Kluyveromyces lactis: one gene and its partner. The protein of the gene in region 1 interacts with the protein of each later gene in a pairwise test. Links are inferred from orthologs where the notes say so. Each region holds a gene or a part of one and is shown on either strand. Other genes may lie near its edges.

What was found. The genes of interacting proteins can lie anywhere in the genome.
Region 2: the proteins of REI1 (region 1) and JJJ1 interact in binary tests that used the Saccharomyces cerevisiae proteins (3 or more experiments, as listed by UniProt). The link is inferred for Kluyveromyces lactis from reciprocal best matches to the Saccharomyces cerevisiae genes REI1 and JJJ1.

What each region holds. Positions count from the first base shown.
Region 1 is NC_006042.1:161,563-164,698, reverse strand, and holds REI1 (Rei1p), read left to right. Parts: upstream 1-1,258; coding exon 1,259-2,473; downstream 2,474-3,136. Other genes in the region: TSC10 (3-dehydrosphinganine reductase), read left to right, coding at 1-878; mannose-ethanolamine phosphotransferase LAS21, read left to right, coding at 2,867-3,136. UniProt on the Saccharomyces cerevisiae protein: Pre-60S-associated factor involved in the cytoplasmic maturation of the 60S subunit. Involved in the dissociation and recycling of other late pre-60S factors like ARX1, TIF6 and ALB1 before newly synthesized large ribosomal subunits enter translation.
Region 2 is NC_006040.1:1,651,614-1,655,579, forward strand, and holds JJJ1 (Jjj1p), read left to right. Parts: upstream 1-1,482; coding exon 1,483-3,345; downstream 3,346-3,966. Other genes in the region: CNM67 (Cnm67p), read left to right, coding at 1-1,235; URE2 (glutathione peroxidase), read left to right, coding at 3,933-3,966.

The sequences.
Region 1 (3,136 bases):
AATCTTTTGCGAAACGGTTTGTGCAAGACGATGATGGACCAGGTTCGAATACTAATAAGGTTATCATTGTGTCCAGGTCTCAGAGCAAGCTGGTAAAGGCTTGTGAGAGAATTGGCGTTGATGGTGTTTCTTTGGACCGATATGTCAACGATACCAATAGAAATGAAACAAAATTGATATATCACAGCTGTGATACGTCATCATACGACAAAGTAGCATTGATGTTCAAGCTACTGGTCAAGAGTGAATTGGTTCCATCACAGGTGTACATGTGTGCTGGGGGGTCAATCCCAAAACTGTTCTTAGATTTGACACCGGAAGAATTACAAAACGGTATCACAACAAATTATTCCACCGCCGTGAATTTGGCCCATGTTTCTTTAAAGCATGATGTGCCCCATCTTCTGTTCTTTTCCTCCGAGGTAGCGTTCTTTCCTTTCATTGGATACGCTCAGTATGCTCCTTTGAAACAGAGTATAAGATCTTTGGTTGCAATCTTGAGACAGGAACATTCAAGTACAAGAATCACCTGTGTGTACCCAGGTAATTTCCAAAGTGAGGGCTTTGATCTAGAAAATATAACTAAACCTGCAATTACAAAAGAAATTGAGGGACCCAGTAATCCAGTGACCGCTGCCCAATGTCGTGACAAGATCATCTCGTCATTGAAATGGGGGCTTGATGATATTACCACAGATTCTATTGGTTGGCTATTGATGGCGTGCGATCAAGGTTTAAACAAACATAGCACCAGCCAATTCATGTTCGTGTTTTCATGGATCCTAGGTGCCTTGTTGAACATTACCATCGTGCCTATCTACATGTTGATTTGCAAATTCCAAATCTATCAATGGAAAAGGAATAAAGATACTAAGTAGTGTGTTACTATATACCCTGAGAGAGCTAGATATCTAAGTATGAAATATATTCCCAAACGACTCACATAGAACAAAGCCAGTGGATCGAATCGAGTAGTCTTTATTTACATCATTGGCGTCCTATTGGGGACAGTTTACCCATAGTCATCGCCGGAATCTTTCTTTTTTTTTTAGTGCGTGAATGTTTGAAAATTTTATAGAAGCTCATCTCATCTCATCTCATCGAATAGGTTCAGGTGGCTAGTGATGAGAAACAGTAATTAACAGCCTTGTTATTTTTGTACTTCTTGGAGCAACATTATTAAATATTAGTTTGCTTTGTTTAGTATCGACGGAGCGGGAGAAATAAACCTACACGAACTAAGGTAAAGGACAAAGATATGGCTGGATATACTTGTAACACTTGCGGTGTTGTGTTTGACACTGCGGTTGGCCAAAGAGAGCACATGAAGTCGGACTGGCACAGATACAATTTGAAGAGAAGAGTCGCTGGTTTGCCATCCATAGATGAAGCTACTTTTAGTGAAAAGGTTGCTAATGCTCGTGTAGAGAAGGAAGAAGAAGAGAACAAGCATAAGAAGGATAAAGTTAAACAGATGACGAAGAAGGAGATGCGTAGGTTAGAAAAGGAGAAGTTACTAGCCAAGAAGCAGCAACTATTGCAGCTCGCTAAGGAGTCTATGTTGAAGAACATGCAAGATAGTACTCCTGTTAATAAAGCATCAGATGATCCTGAGGTGCAAGTAGAAGCAGAACAGAAGGACGAAGTTGCCAAATCCAAAGCAGAAGAGATTCCAGAAGAAGAAATGACCCCCGATCAACTTGCTGAGAAGTTAATGGCTGAAAAGCTTCATAACAGAGTTGAAATTCCAGAAACTGAGTGTCTATTTACCGGTAAGAAGTATAAAACTTTTGAAGAAAATTTGGATCATATGTTCAGAGACCATGGTTTCTATATTCCAGAACAGAAATATTTAGTTGATAAAAGTGGTCTTTTCAAATACTTTTCGGAAAAGATTGGTTTGGGTAATATGTGTTTCTGCTGTTCTTACCAAGGTAGGTCCTTAGAAGCGGTCAGAGCTCATATGCTATCGAAAAAGCATTGCCGTATTCCATACGAAACGGAAGCTGAAAAGTTGGAAATATCAGAGTTTTATGATTTTTCGAGTACCTATGAAGAGTTAGATAAAGCCGTCAACGAGGATGAATCCCAGTGGGTGGATGTTGATGAAGATGACGACGGTGATATTGAGAATGATAAAAAGGAAGATGATGAAGAAGAAGAAGAATTACCTGAACATATACTATACAACGACGGTGTCGAATTACATCTACCTACTGGTGTGAAGGTTGGTCACAGAACCTTACAACGGTATTACAGACAAAATCTTAAACCTGAGCGTGAACTTAGTGAGGGCCAAGGTACTATCGTTGCTGCAGACACCAGACACTTCGCTACCATTTTCGATAGACAACAACAACAAGTACAAAAGACTACTTGGCAAACAGAAGTCAAAGACAAGAAAAGAGACGATAAAAGAGCTGCCAAGTTCGTTAATAACCAACCTCATTACAGAGACCAATTGTTACAGTAGATTCACTGTGATGAAGAACATTTTTGCATATGCACTTGGGTTTACGGTTTTACTTTAGTATTTAGATATATAGATCATTGCATTATCCTTAACAAATCTACCTCTATACTCCGTATTAAATATTCGGTCATTTCCTTTTATTATTGCTATGTATATATGAAATATGATTATTCCGCACTACATCGGACACCTATTCATTCACTTGTTTGTTTTGTTACTGTTCTTCTAAAATTCCTTCAATTACCTTTCTTTCATCTCTCTCAACATGAAAAATCTCTAAAGACGTAACGTAAACATCAATACATTTCAGCGTTGGATGGGAATAGCGTTGAGTTGTTCTAACAAACTGGTTAGTAGTGACAAGGTGAATTGAATCACACAGCTGAATCCATCATGGGTAGAAAATTATACTATGTGCTGGCCACTTTGCAATTGGTTGCTGTATTTCTCTTCTGTGGAGGATTCTTTCCGCAAAAGGTTGTTTTGAAGAATGATTCTAAATTCATTGTGAATCCGGAGGTACAACTGGCCTCTAAACCCGTGTTCAAGAAACTAGTGTTGGTTGTAATTGATGCTCTGCGGAGTGATTTCTTGTTCCAGAAAGATTCTTCAGACTTCGAATTTTTACATGGACTATTGAACTCAGGCGAGGCCTGGGGCTAC
Region 2 (3,966 bases), on another chromosome or scaffold:
TATCAGATGTTGTGAAGTCTAGAGATAGCACAATAAATGATCTCACGGCTAAATTGAAAAGCGCTGATGCTGAGCAGGAACAATTGTCTTTACAACTTTTGGAATCGAAAACTCTAGTGGAACAACTAAACAGTAAGCTAGAATCAAAACTAACAGTTGAAGCGGAGGTTTCGGATTTGAAATCCAAATTAGCCACAGCAAATAATGAGAACTCTGTTTTACTCCAATATATCGCAAACTTCACTCTATTCAAGGTCAAGGTTGGTGAGTTTCTAATATCCCAGATTGGTAGAAAAAAATCACAAGAAACTTGCGAAAAGTGGCTCAAGTCTCAACATATAATTGGATACAAGACTGAGAACGAGGAAGAATCATTTACGTCATTGAAAAACTTGGTGGAGAGAGATTTAAAACCAACTTTGGAAGAAAAGTCAAGCCGTATATCATATTTGGAAAAAGAAGTAGGGGATAAGAATTCAAAAATTACTGAACTCTTGGACAAAGTAACTGATGTTCAACAGTCAAGAGAGGAACTTATATCCTTACGTGATCAATTGACTTCGGAAGTAACTTCTTTGAAATCTCAAATTTGCTCCTCCGAAATAACTGCAAAGGAAAATGCTTTCAAAGATCTAACTGAACAAAACCTAAAATTATTGGAAAAGATGAATGTTGTCAATGATGAAGTAGCAACAATTCTAATGAAATTGAAGACTGAATCAGCTTCGCTTCAGAAAGAAAAGGAACTCTCGGCCAATATGAAATCCACCATTTCACATTTGGAGAGTTCTCTATCAAAAATACGAAAATCATATGAAAAGGTAAAAGGAAACGCGGCTGACAAAATTACACCAGATACACTAATGAAAATACATACACACATGAATAAGGAATCTTATGAAAACTTAGAATTGGATACGATTGATAACCTAAATCTTGTCGAGTGTCAAAATACAATCAAAAATATTGTTGCAATCCTTGATATATCCTACTCCAAGTTGTCCTCTAAACTTCCGTTAGTAAACATTATGTTGCGTTATGAAAAAACTATGTTATTCCATTTTGCGAACAAAGTGCATAACTTGCTATTCCACCAGGAAATCGATTTCAAGACGTTTACTAAAAAGGCTCTTGAGAACTATTGGACCCATAGGAATGCAAAAGAAATACAGCATCCGTTAGAACAGTGTTTAAAAGATTTATACAAGTCAGTTAGCGAAAAGTTACTTGTGTAGTTAGTTTCAATGTTTTCAAACTTCATTTTTAGCATTTTGTCATGGTAAAATTTGACACTTCACATTTTCTATATTATTATCATTTACTTAATTATTTTTCACTTTCATTGAACAATACAACGGGAAATTCTGTAAGATAGATACGCGAAGACTTCATGAAAAAGCATTTAAACAATACAGAGTATAAGAACCACATCAACGATTCAATAGCGCAATTCGTAATAGTCAGATTCCAAAGCTAATAGAGATGAAGACATGTTATTATGACCTTCTTGATGTCAAATCAGATGCAACCGATACCGATCTAAAACGAGCGTACCGTAAAAAAGCATTATTGTACCATCCTGATAAGAACAGAAACAATATAGAAGAGGCTACAGAAGTATTTGCCCAAATAAGAGCTGCATACGAAGTATTATCAGATGCCCAAGAAAGAGCGTGGTACGATGCACACAAGGACCAAATCTTAAATGATTCAATAGATGATGCTTACGATTCTGATGGCTCTAACGTTGTGGATAGCTCAGTGACAGGAGTAACAACTGAAGAACTATTGAAATTCTTTGACGGTGGAATGTACAGTCGAATCGATGATTCTCCAGCAGGGTTATATCAGATTGGTGGTAAAATATTCGCAAAATTAGCAGGCGATGAGGTAAGAAATGGACGAAAACTTGGAATGGCAGCGTTCAAAGATGTTGTCGATGATACTGTGGATGCCGATATTGTTTCCATCGGATATGTTAATTCTATGGAAAAATACAAGGAATCAAATTTACTTCTGCCAACTTTTGGCTATTCGGGTACAAGTTATCAGGAAGTAAAAGTATTCTACAAGAAATGGGGCAATTTTAGTACCGTTAAATCTTTTAGTTGGAAGGATGAATACATGTATTCAAGGAACTACGATAGGAGGACGAAAAGGGAAATTAATAAGAGGAATGAGAAGCTTAGAACTCAAGCTCGCAGTGAATATAATAAGACTGTAAAGAGATTCGTCACTTTCATCAAGAAATTTGACAAAAGAATGAAAGAAGGAGCGAGAAAGCAAGAAGAAGAAAAGAAGTTAAGACTCCAAAATGCCTTGAAAAGCCAAATAAGCAAGGACAAAGACGTAGAAATGTCAAAAAAACAGGCAGATTTTGCTTTGCAAGACTGGCAAACTATTGATCACAACCGATTACAGGAGATTGACGAATATTACCTATCCAAAGATCAAAAGAAAGCGCCAACGGATGGCGAGCATCATATCAATAATGACCTTGAGGATGTTCTAATCTATGAATGTTTTATCTGTAACAAGAATTTTAAGTCCGAGAAACAACTAGAGAATCATACCAATACAAAACTGCACAGGAAACTGCTGCGTCAACTACAATGGGAAATGAAACAGGAGAGTATCGCACTTGGGCTAGACAACATATCTGATGTGGATGAATTCAAGTCAGCATCAGAAACCTATTCAGATAATGAAACTAGTGGAAGCATACATCTATCCTCCCCTGATGAATTTGAAGAAATCGAGGAAAGCGACACATTTTCATTTTCTGATATAGATGCGGAATTGAAAAAAATTGACGAAGATCTTGACGCATTGAACTCAACTGAGTCGAATATAAACAATTTTATGTTAGAAACTTCTGAAGATGATAAACAGATTTCAGATGTTGAATATATCATTGACGATGAAGTAGATGAAAATATATCACAAAAGGTAGAAACAAATAATGCTACTCAAGTTTCCAAGAATGAAAATCAAAATAAAGACACAGAGCCCAAGGATGATTTAGCAATGCTTCTAGAATCCTTGAAGAAAGACAACGCAGATACTTCATGGGAACCTAAAAAGAAGAACAATGGTAAAAAAAATAAAAGCAGAAAAAAGCAGACGAACTCAACAACACAAATAGATTCAAACACCACTTCCGGGAACAATGCCGAGAATAAAATTTCGGCAGACATTGATAGTTTCATATGCTCAACATGTGGTGTTAAGTTTGATACTCGAAACAAAATGTTCAAGCACTTAGATTCCACAAACCATGCAGCCCCACTGTCGACTAATAAGAAAGGATCCAAGAAGCGGAATATCAGGAACAACAGTAAGTAAAAAAGAATGTCAATATCACAACCTTATCCATATTTTCTATGTAGATAGCAATTACATAAACTGGTCCTCGCTTGCCATGCGTTAGACGTATGCTCAGAGCGTCCATCCACTGGAGTTAGCAGTACTTCGCTCTAGCTGAGACTTTCTTACCCGGATACGTACGTAACGACAACGCCTTTCCTTGGTGACTTATCTAAGAAAAGTTTTCCTTTTTTTTTCTCGTCGGAAGTTCTCGTTACAATACCGATGCACACGCAGACAGACCCACCGAAGAATTGGAAATGAAAATGACCAGAATGGTGAAAAGCTAAAAAAACAATAGAAGAAAAAATAATGGAGCTGAATGTTAAATTTGGCTGACATAGATAAACTTCGGAACGCTTTCATTCGTTCATATGGGAAGTATCTGACCGATTACAAATCTAGTGTGGTTGATAACGGTACAAAATCAGCTGTAGCGAATTATTTCATATTTAGTATAGCGTTTCAGAGCTAGCAGAGAGTTTACTTTTGAACAGAGAGTTTCGTCTTCCTTTTTGGCATCGCAAGAGTATTCATAAGAAAGAGGATACAATTTTGAAAGCGAAATGCAACAAGATATGCAAAATGGTGGACCAGGGA